Yarrowia lipolytica: one gene and its partners. The protein of the gene in region 2 interacts with the protein of the main gene of each other region in a pairwise test. Links are inferred from orthologs where the notes say so. Each region holds a gene or a part of one and is shown on either strand. Other genes may lie near its edges.

Evidence for each region.
Region 1: the proteins of YALI1_F11658g (region 2) and YALI1_E20269g interact in binary tests that used the Saccharomyces cerevisiae proteins (3 or more experiments, as listed by UniProt). The link is inferred for Yarrowia lipolytica from reciprocal best matches to the Saccharomyces cerevisiae genes HRR25 and SEC23.
Region 3: the proteins of YALI1_F11658g (region 2) and YALI1_B19602g interact in binary tests that used the Saccharomyces cerevisiae proteins (3 or more experiments, as listed by UniProt). The link is inferred for Yarrowia lipolytica from reciprocal best matches to the Saccharomyces cerevisiae genes HRR25 and GCN2.

Annotation. Positions count from the first base shown.
Region 1 is NC_090774.1:2,024,123-2,027,875, reverse strand, and holds YALI1_E20269g (uncharacterized protein), read left to right. Parts: upstream 1-999; coding exon 1,000-3,360; downstream 3,361-3,753. UniProt on the Saccharomyces cerevisiae protein: Component of the coat protein complex II (COPII) which promotes the formation of transport vesicles from the endoplasmic reticulum (ER).
Region 2 is NC_090775.1:1,163,778-1,167,530, forward strand, and holds YALI1_F11658g (uncharacterized protein), read right to left. Parts: upstream 2,526-3,753; coding exon 2,491-2,525; intron 2,056-2,490; coding exon 546-2,055; downstream 1-545. UniProt on the Saccharomyces cerevisiae protein: Protein kinase which phosphorylates serine and threonine residues. Can use casein as a substrate. Phosphorylates elongator complex member ELP1/IKI3 on 'Ser-1198' and 'Ser-1202' which promotes the tRNA modification function of the complex.
Region 3 is NC_090771.1:1,959,478-1,963,230, reverse strand, and holds the start of YALI1_B19602g (uncharacterized protein), read right to left. Parts: upstream 3,006-3,753; coding exon 2,910-3,005; intron 2,852-2,909; coding exon 1-2,851. UniProt on the Saccharomyces cerevisiae protein: Metabolic-stress sensing protein kinase that phosphorylates the alpha subunit of eukaryotic translation initiation factor 2 (eIF-2-alpha/SUI2) on 'Ser-52' in response to low amino acid, carbon, or purine availability.

The DNA of each region.
Region 1 (3,753 bases), on a different chromosome or scaffold from region 2:
AATCCTGCCGTGGGTGTCTTTCTGTGGGTTTGACAGACGTGCGGTATTGACAATGTGTGTCTCTTGTTCTTGTCTTGTATGCACAAGTTTGTACTGTACGTGAATTAGGTGTGGAGGAAGTTACAGTAAGTGTGTACGTAAGACGTGTTAGTTGGGGTGAGGAGGTCTGAATGTGGGCAGTTGGGTGGCGCTAGACAGGATGATTTTTGGCCCTGAATAATCATCGTGCATCTGCATTCCAATTTCCGCATTACATTCGTCTTGTCGTTACCAAAATATTCCCTATATATAGACCCTCCATTCCCACTCTTGTCGTTGTCACACATTCTCCCACCACTCATTTAGGTTCGGACGTGAATGTCCCACCTGTTACCAACGACCTGGCATTTTCAACATTGAGTTCACTTTGCTTAGGTGGCCTATTCGACACAACAATCAAATGGTGAGTGTGACAAGGCGACGCGATGGGCGATGCTGGCGAACTGGGTTGATTTGATGACACAAACCGATGGCCGACACATGGCTCCGTGTCTCTTGCAAACCGACCAATCGAATCCCTTAGTGTGGGGTTGATCGCCAATATGAAAAGACACGGGGGATGGATTTGATGAGCAACAAAAGACACAGAAGAGATGGTGTGACACAGACGAAAGCAATGTGATTAGGACCTCTGGATGACGTGATCTTTGCGCCAGTGTTGCACTATTGAATCAGCCATTTTATCAACCGACTAGGACAGGTATTCGTGTGCCCGTTACACGGTGTTTAGTACAAACATTGATGTGGCAGTTTGTGACAATGTTACAATTGTGTGACAAGTATACTGATTGTTTCTGTGTCAGCAGCTTGGAGCTGGTACGCTACGCTGTGTTTGTGTCCATGTGCTTTTCGTGGCCTACCTAACATCACGTAACGGTGTCAGCTTGGCGCGCTGTTGTGTCGTGATTGCAACTACAGCTACTTGCTTCCGCTTGGATCCAGGTGGTGTCTTCCACTGCGATGGCAAGTGACACGCATGGTCACGTCGCGCGTCGTCCTCGACCTGCGGCTACTCCCGTTACCCGTTTCCGTTTCGTACTAACCCAGGACTTTGAAGAATTCGAAGAGAAGGACGGAGTGCGATTCTCCTGGAATTGCATTCCCTCTACCCGAATTGAGGCTTCCAGAACCGTCGTTCCCATCTCGGCTCTGTACACTCCTCTGAAGGAGAAGCCCAACCTCCCCGTACTGCAGTATGAGCCCATTGCATGCCGACCCCCCTGTCGAGCTGTGCTCAACTCCTTCTGCCAGGTTGATCTGCGAGCCCGAGCCTGGGTCTGTCCTTTCTGTCTGTCTAGAAACCAGCTGCCTCCTCAGTACCGAGACATTACTCCCGAAAACTTGCCCCACGAGCTGCGACCCGAGTGCACCACTGTTGAGTACGTTCTGTCCCGACCTGCTCCCAACCCCATCTTCCTGTTTGTGGTTGACACCTGTCTGGACGCCGAGAACCTGACTGCTCTCAAGGATCACCTTGTGGCCACTCTTTCTCTGATCCCCGAGAACGCTCTCGTCGGTCTCATCACCTTTGGCGCCATGGCTCAGGTCCACGAGATTGGCTACCGAGAGTGCGGCAAGAGCTTCGTCTTCCGAGGTAACCGAGATTACACTGCGAAGCAGGTGCAGGAACAGCTGGGTCTCAACCAGCCTATTGGTCACCGAGTCCCCCAACAGGGAGGACATCCCCAGGCCCAGGGAGCCGCTGCCCGGTTCCTCCTGCCTCTGCAGAACGCCGAGTTCGCCCTCACCAACGTTCTGGAGGGTCTGCAGAAGGACCCCTGGCCCGTGGCTGCCGACCGACGACCCATCCGATGTACCGGTGTGGCTCTCGGAATTGCTCTCGGCCTGCTGGAGACTTCCTTTCCCAACTGCGGTGCACGAGTCATGCTGTTTGCTGGTGGTGCCCCCACTGAGGGTCCTGGTATGATTGTGGGTCCCGAGCTCAAGGAGCCCATCCGATCTCACCACGAAATTGAAAAGGACACAGCCAAGCACTCCAAGGCTGCCACAAAGTTCTACGAGGGTCTGGCCAAGCGAGCCACCACCCATGGCCAGGCCGTTGACATTTTCGCCGGTTGTTACGACCAGATTGGTATGCACGAGATGCGATCTCTGCCCAACTCCACCGGTGGAGCTCTTGTGCTCTGCGATGCCTTCTCCACATCCATCTTCAAGTCCTCGCTGACCAAGATGTTTGCCCGAGACGCCAACAACTTCCTCCAGATGGGTTTCAACGCCACCTTTGATGTCGTGCCCTCCAAGGAGCTCAAGGTATCTGGTCTGATTGGCCACGCCGTTTCAATGAACAAGAAGAACCCCAGTGTAGCTGACACCGAGATTGGTATTGGCCAGACTTCTTCGTGGAAGATGTGCTCCATCACTCCTGCTCACACCTACGCGACTTTCTTCGAAGTGGCCCAGCAGCAGGGCACTCCTGCAGGCCAGATCCCCCCTGGATACGTGCAGTTCCTGACGCATTACCACCACTCGTCCACTCAGCAACGTCTTCGTGTGACCACTGTTGCCAAGGCTCTTGTGCCCGGTGGCGATCCCCACATTGCCAGCTCCTTTGACCAGGAGGCTGCTGCTGTGCTTATGACTCGAATTGCCATTTTCAAGTCCGAGACCGAGGACGGCAACGACATTATGCGATGGACCGACAAGATGCTGATCCGTCTATGCCAAAAGTTTGCTGACTACAGAAAAGACGACGCGTCTTCGTTCCGACTCGCCCACAACTTCTCGCTGTACCCCCAGTTTATGTTCCATCTACGACGATCGCAGTTCCTGCAGGTGTTCAACAACTCGCCCGATGAGACTGCCTTCTACCGACACTGCCTGAACCGAGAGAATCTCAACAACTCGCTTATCATGATCCAGCCCACCCTGCTGTCGTACTCTCTGGAGCAGGAGCAGCCCGTGCCTGTACTGCTGGATTCGGTGTCCATCAAGCCCGATCACATTCTGCTGCTGGACACCTTTTTCCACATTCTCATTTTCCACGGAGAAACCATTGCCAACTGGCGAAACCAGGGCTACCAAGAAAAGGAGGAGTACGCCAACTTTGCTGAGCTTCTGCAGGCCCCTCGAATGGAGGTCCAGGACTTGCTGGTTGACCGATTCCCTTTGCCTCGATTCATTGACACTGATGCTGGAGGTTCCCAGGCCCGTTTCTTGCTGTCCAAGCTCAATCCCTCCAACACCCACCAGAGCGACAGTGGCTACGGCACTCCTGGCAGCGCCGTGGTGCTTACTGACGATGTGTCTCTGCAGACTTTCATGTCTCATCTTCAGAAGTTGTCTGTGGCTGCCTCCTCTTAGGGTTAAGTAATGTTGTAAGATTAATTTGTATTGTTGGATTGTCGAGCTGGGAGTTATACAGTGGTGTCTTCTATACACTGTATTGTCTCAAGTACACCACTCCCTTGCATGCGACCCCGTATCTGGCGTTAGTGAGACATGGTTGTACGATACAGTGGAATATATGTTCTTTGGAGCTAAAAAGTTTCAAGGAGGCACTGTATGAGCTGTGCGAGTGGGGTGATGATATGATATCGCGATAGCTGTGTAGATGCAATGTAATTACTCCTTGAATTGACTCAATTAAATGTAATAAATAGTATATAGAATGAAGGAATGAAGCATATAAACAAAACCAATCCACATTATAAATATATGTTAGTGCTCTCTCTCTCTCTCTTTCTCGTTCTGTAT
Region 2 (3,753 bases):
GGAAACCTTCAGAAATATACCACATATAAGCCAGCATAATCCCACCGTCTGGCACAGGATGGATCCACATACACTCAACCCGCTTGCATGCATATTATCACCCAAAGTGGGGTAGCCGGAGCGCCAAATGTCACACCTGACCTGAGTCCGTTTGGATCACGTGAAAATGACAGAATAATTATTGGTAAATCTCGGTACTCGTGTGTTCTGTTCCATACATACCAACGCCTTCCACGCCAAAGTTATTTGAAACGTGTCGATTTCTCTTTTGTTGAAAAATCAACTTTCACAGTCCTCCCAATGAGCCGAGCCATATAGCCGAACACTTCACACACACCCCTTCATCCGAACATCAGCAATAAGTACAAGTTGGTACAACCGTAGTTGTAAGTACATACTATACTCGTAAAGGTACCGTGAGTACAACATTACCACCCGCGTCTTCGCTAAATATAATCACTTAATTACATAGCCGTCACCTTCTAACTCATGACACATTATTACTTACTAGATTTTGGTTCAGTCACACACTCATGCCAACTCCGCTAGATCCAGGGAGTAGCGCCATAGTCGTCGTGACCTTGTCCAGGAGGAGCCGATGCACCGGGCTGTCCAAACTGTCCCAGCGGTTGCTGTGGCTGCTGCTGTTGTTGCTGGGGAACGCCCTGCTGAGGCCCACCGGGAGCGGTGCCTGAGCCGGCAGCGCCGCTGTTACCCTGGCTGGTAGGGCTACCCTGGATGCGCTGCTGCTCCCGTCGTAGCCGTGTTCGCCAGTCGGACTGATCGGTATCTGCCTTCTTGTCGTCGTAGTAATCGAGCTGCTGGTTCTCAATGTCAAAAAGTCGCAAAGGGGGAGGAATGTCCCAGTCTCCAATTCGGGTCTTGAGATCTGGCCGCTGGGATGGAGTCTTGGCTCGCATGCCCTGCTGGGGAGGCACACCCTGGCCCTGGGCACCTGCTGCCAGAGCCTCGCCACCGGCTCGGGGAGCCTGCTGAGGTTGCAGACTCACCTGCGAGTTGGAGGCTCCCTGAGAAGCACCGGCGGCGGCAGGAGAAGCGGAGTCCCGCTGCTGCTGCTGCTGCTTGTTGGGGTCCTCGTCCTGACCCTGGCCGGCTGTGAGCTGCGACTGCTGGGCTCCCTCTCGGCCTCCCATGCTGTTGATGACCTTTCTGTATCGGAACACGGTCCAGTCGAACACGTAGTCGTATCGGTAGTTGGATCGGATGAAGAAGTCCTTCATGAGGCGACGCAGATAAATGTAGTCTGGTCGGTCCTCGAATCGCAACGATCGCGAGTATGACAAGAAAATGGCAAACTCGTTGGGCAGGCCCTTGGTGAGCGTGTCTGTGCTGGTGGTCATCTTCTTCTCCATGATCCGGTCGTACTTCTGCTTCTTGGTTACTGCCTTGAGACCCTGCCACGGGAGCTGGCCACGCATAAAGTAGATGAGCACGTATGCCAACGACTCGAGGTCATCTCGACGCGACTGCTCCACGCCCAGATGCGTGTTGATGCTGGCATAACGCGCCGTGCCCGTCAGGTTCTTGTTCTCACGGTAGGGAATATGCAAATGGGTTCGGGGGTCTCGGAATCGCTTAGCCAGGCCAAAATCTATAATGTTGACCTGGTTGCCTCGGCGGCCGATGCCCATGAGGAAGTTATCGGGCTTGACGTCTCGGTGGATGAACGACTTGGCATGCAGATATTCGAGTCGGGTGATGAGCTGGTCGGCGAGAAGAACCACCGTCTTGTACGAGAATCGTCGCTCGCAAAAGTTGAACAGGTCCTCGAGCGAGGGGCCCAGCAGATCCATCACCAACGCATTGTACTCATTCTGTGAGCCAAACCATCGGATGAAGGGGATGCCGGTGCCGCCGGCCAGAGTCTTGTACACCCGCGCCTCGTACTCTAATTGTGGGTGTTTAGAGAAGATGTTTTCCAGCTTGATGGCCACCTCTTCGCCTGAAATGATGTTGACGCCCAAGTAAATGTCGCCGAACGATCCGCTTCCGATTTTTCGCCGGATCTGGAATTTGTTTGCAATTCTCACGTCGCTGGGTTAGTATGTGTGTGATTAGTTGATGTGTGGGATGGGCGATCGTGCGAGCAATAGTGCGAGCAATTTGATGCAGCAGCAAAGCGTGGGGGGGATGCATCGGGTGGTTCCACGGCTGCTCCGCGGAGGAAAGTGCAACGCCAGACCATTCGTTGCCGGTGACATCTATAATATCACATCGCACATGATGCAGTCACATAAGTCAAGTGTCATGAGATGGTGGGTGTGGACAGCCACGACGATAGCAGCGGCGAGAGACTGACACCTCAACAGCGTAGCATGTCATCGTCAGCATGTCATCACCATCACCATCATCATCACATCAACTGCCACCCTTGTCACCCATCACCATCCATCTCCTTTTGTCATTCATCACCCTCCTCATCTCATACCGCATCACGACAGCTGCCCTGTCGCGGCAGACAATACTCACTGTAGAAGCGACGGAACCGAGTTGCTAGAAGACATGGTCGACGGTCGGGGGAATGTCTTGGTCCGTGAGGGGCGATTTGGAGCTTGTGCTTGTGTCGAAACAAGTTGTTGATTTTGGAATGTGGGTGCGGATGTTTGTGGTCGCTAGAAAGTAGAGTCTGGTAGATTTTGTTTATTGAAGCGTGTCCAGAGAAAACAAGAAATAAAGTACTCTAATCAGGTGACGTGGGCGCCGGAGTAAGTGTCGCTTGTTGGGCCGGCCAAACTTTGGTTAGTGGAGATTGGTGCCGCTCGCTCTCGGGGTGTTATGTCCGGGGTCGAGAGGGTGGTTGTATGTGGTAGGGGCTACGTTTCTCAACGACGATGGGTGGTGGGAGAGGGGGAAAAATCAGGTTGGGAAGGGTTAGGGTACAAGAGCAAAAAAGGCAAAACCCGCCGACTACTGCCTGGAATGTGTATTGGGCAGTTTGATGACTGTTCAGAGGTTATCTGGGAGGCGCCGGGTCCCTATTTGTGTCTGTTGGCCGTGGTTGCCATCTGGGCATTTTCATTGGGGCAAAAAAACCGATTTTTCCCCTCCAAAAGCCGCTCCCACAAACCCCCCTTAACTCTTGTCACGCTCTCTCCACGCACACTCACCTTACAGTGCACTCTCTCTACACTGCATATTGGTGCCAGTATCACTGGTACATTCACTCGTATGTACTGTAGCTATAGTATAGTGCTTGCAAGGAATACAGTCCCCCTAGAATAACCTTGGTAGCTTACAAACAGAACATACAAGTGACAAAGATGATATATATTAAGACACCGAAGACGGAGAGCCCCTCCCCAGGTATAATGCTTAGTAATCCCCGCCTGAATCAATCTAGATCGGAAGAGAGGGTCAGCAGGAATTACGCACCACAAAATCTATATCTTGCAGCAGCCGACACGGACATGCGGCGACACGACCGTCAAAATGCACAAGAACTGCCCAAATCAAATGTAACATTGTTCGGGAGGGTAATGACGGGAGCCAAGCTTGTTTTGCGGTGTCTCCAGTACATACGATACATATATGAGTATCCATATGGCTACAGTCCTGGCCCATGGACTGATGATGGACAGTCGCCCTAGTGCCAATATTTATTAATTACTCGCACAAGTACAAGTACAAGTACATTAACTGGTAGCTACTAGGCTGTAACTACTGTTCTGTATCCCTTCGCTGTTAGTCCCTATTAATAAAATGCTTTCTCAAACGGGAAATTACACTAATTAT
Region 3 (3,753 bases), on a different chromosome or scaffold from region 2:
ATGGCGAACTGGGCGAGGGGTCTACCAAGCTTCGAATCACCTCCTTGATAGTCTTGTCCTTATTAGGAATCGGCAAAATGCCTGAGGCCAAGAGTTGTTGGGCAGAAGGTCTCTTGCTGGGGTCATGGTCGAGCAAGCTTCGAATGATCTTACGAGGTTCGTTGTACTTAGAAGCCTCAAACGCTGGAGGGAAGATGACCTTAGGGTTGCGCAAGTCTCGAAGAATGTAGACACGCTCCATCGCAGTGTTCATGGGGAACACCATCTCGAAAAAGATGATACCCAAAGAGTACATGTCAACTTTCTCGTTGTAATTGGCCTCCCCGCCTGTGGCTAATACCTCATTGGCGACGTACAGCGTAGTACCGATGTCGCCTGTCATATCCTCACCTGTGTACTGAGACGAGCTCCCACCAGTTCCTGCACCGGCACCAACCAGAGAAGTTCCAGTATGGATATTCTTGGCCAGTCCAAAATCTCCGACCTTGACATTACCAGATGAGTCAATGAAAATGTTCATAGGCTTGAGATCTCGATGGATGATGCCCTGAGAATGAATGTGGCTCAGAGCATCAAGAATCTGGCCAAACAATCGCCAGCAGTCTTCAGGTTTAGATGAGAGGTTCTGCTTGATCAAATCCGCCAAAGTGTGCTTCTCACAATATTCCATTTGAATGAATAGGGTGGATTTTACCAGAGACTTGTCTTGCTTGTGTCGAGGAGAGTCACGCAGCTCAGCCAGAGCAGCCTTTCCAACGAGAGTCTTGACGGTAGTTTTGTGTCTGCTGTTGATGGGAGAAGATGTTGATACGCTCCCCGAAGAAGTCTCGTCTTCGCTGTCGCTATCGTCACTCTCGCGGTCTTCATCATCCTCTGAACTGACTCCGAATTCAATCTCAGGATACTCTCGATGCAGGGAGTTGGAGATGAAGTCCACCGAGGCGTTCATGGAGAGCTCGTCAAACGTATCTTGGTCGTATGAGCCGTTGAGACGGGCAGGAAACGCGCTGACAGATGTTTCAACTCTAGAAACACTTTCGCTCCACTCCTCCTCTGAATCGTAGTCCTCGATGGCAGACTCATCCTGATAGTCGTAGGACTCTTCCAACCACGCAGCAAAGTATCGAACCACGTACTGATTATTGAGACGAGACAGCAGCATGACCTCTGTTAGAATGGAAGTCAACTTGTCTGCTGTATGTTGAACTCGCTTGATGGCGTAGAAACGGCCATCCAACTTGTTGCGAGCCTTCACAACGACACCATAGCCACCTCGTCCTAACAAAACCGTTTCCTCGAAGTCCTGAGCATATCGAGACATGGAAAGACCACTCATGGAATCCCGGTGAGGTCGTCCATCCGTAGACATGCTTCTTCCTCGACCTCGTTTTCCACCACTGCTGGAAGCACACGCCAACTTCACTGGCGAGTCGACACCAGTTCGAAGGAATTCACAAGGCAAGAGCTCAAATGCAGAAAGACGTTTCTTGGGAGAAGGCATGAACATTTTTCGAAGGAACTCTTCCAGGGAATCTCCCAGATCCAGACTGTTGATCACATCTGTAGGTCCGTAATACTCTGACGTCACCTGCTTACCCATGAAGGTCTGAAGAAGCATCACACCCAGAGCCCACACGTCTGTCTTACGCGTCTGCTTGTTTCCACTCTGCTGCACTAGCTCAGGAGGTGACCAAGCATCACTGTCGTGTTGTATCGATGAAACAGAGGCAGTCATATCAAATGTGCACGCCGAATTCATTTCGTTAAGACGTTGACCAAAAACAGTGTATCCCAACTTGACCACTGTTTCTCCAATTTCTGCGTTTCGAAAAAGGACCACAGTGTCCACATTGACACTCTTGTGAACCAATCCAGCCTTGTGGATAGCCTCCAGGGCTTCGAGTAGTTGAATAGCCCATACTCGTGTCACTTTGAGACTCACGGTACCCACGGTATCAAGCAGATCAGACACAGTTCCTCCAGGAGAATATTCGGAAAGTAGGTATAGCGTCCATCCGGAAGTATCTGGACATCGTTGGAACTTGTGGTCGTAGAGACTGATGACGTTTTCGTGTCGAAACTTTCTCAAGTTGTCCAAGTCAGACTCGAGTAGTTGAATCATCTTCTTTCCCTCTGCCTGGATCCAGTATGTGCCCTGAAGTCTAACTTCTGTGAGAAGCAGGGATATGTCGGTTGGTGGGTCTGTCACGGGCCGCACCAAAAAATTGTTACCAAAAGAGTACCCTCGCACGGGTATTTGTCCTCCTACTCTTCTGAAACTGATTGCTGGGTGTCCTGCTCGCGAGATTGTTGTTATTCTGTCAAACTCAATGCAATCGGCCATGACTGGGCCGCCGTTTGACAATTGTCGCTCCGCAGTAAGCGCCTTTTGCGCTTCATCATCCCGCTGTTTGCGTCGCTTGAGCTCCTCCACAACCATCATCTCTAGCACTCTGTCTTCCTCCGCGTTTTCCTGTTCCCGCTTTTTGGCCTCGTCGCTCTTTTGCTTTCGTAGCTGCTCCTGTTGCTTCTCGATCTTCATCTGCCGCTCCTCCTCCAGACTGGCGGTGGACACCTTCTGTTGAAAATCCTCCAGTCGCTCCTGGATATACGAGGTGACCTCGAAGATCATCTCTGCGCCAATGAGCTCCTTGCAGGTGGCGGCGATCCACTTCTCTAACTTGGCCACCTGTGATGCTAAAATGTTTTTGGGGTTTTTGATGCGAATAACAGGGACCGTTTTGGGGTAGGTACTCGTGAGCTCGACCTGGAGCGTTAAACTGGATAGGGCATCTTCGGCGTCCGGGTCGGTCGATCGCATGTGAATCTCAAATGATGGCGAAGGCGTTTTCTATGTTAGCGTCACTGGTTCACTTATTCATCCCTCATTCTTGGATACAAGTACTCACGTTCCATGCAGATGACTTTGTGGTGTCAACAAAATCGTCCATGTAGATGGCCTTCAAAGCCTCCGCCTCGTTTTCTTGCAGTTCCTGTAACTCCATCTGGTCTATCCAAACGGAAGACACCAGGCATGTGTTTTCAAAGACGGTTAGTTGGTAAGTTTGTTCTGAGCGTTGCCAAATGCTTATGCCAGACGACTATTATTTTGAATTGGGTTTGTTGAGCCGCACGATGTCACGTGTGTAGGGTGGATCCGGAGGAACTAAAAGTCGGAGTAATGGCGGTGTTCAATACGTTGTTTGAGAGATTTCAAAGACCAGATATGTTTATTATATCTGCTTAAGTTGATTCTCTTACTGATAGACCACTTACACTTCCCGTATGAAAAACTTACACCGTTTCTGTATTTACTCCCCCATACTGTCGTTTAGATCTACTGTAGAACTTAAACTGACGCACCCCCCTCTTGCTGGATATATATGCAGAAAAAAAAAAAAATAACGCCACTATCATTATCGGTCATATCAGGCGGTTTTCAAAAGACAAAAAAAGGGGTGGGGGAGGGAAAATAACAATGAAATGATCGTGAGCTGTAAATTGACGGTACTCGATAACCCAAATTCGACGGTGTCGCCATGACAAACACGCCTAGTCCCCTCCGAAGCTGAGGCATTTGTGTTCACCTCCTTTCTCACCTGTATTTCGTTATCGAGATTTCAAGTACTTGGAGCTACTTTTGGACCGTGCATACTTCACCAAACTACAACTACAATGCAAGTACAGGTAGCATTATGTACATACTGTACTCGGACCGTTACTCGTACCGACACTGTGTGTAGGGTTACGTCG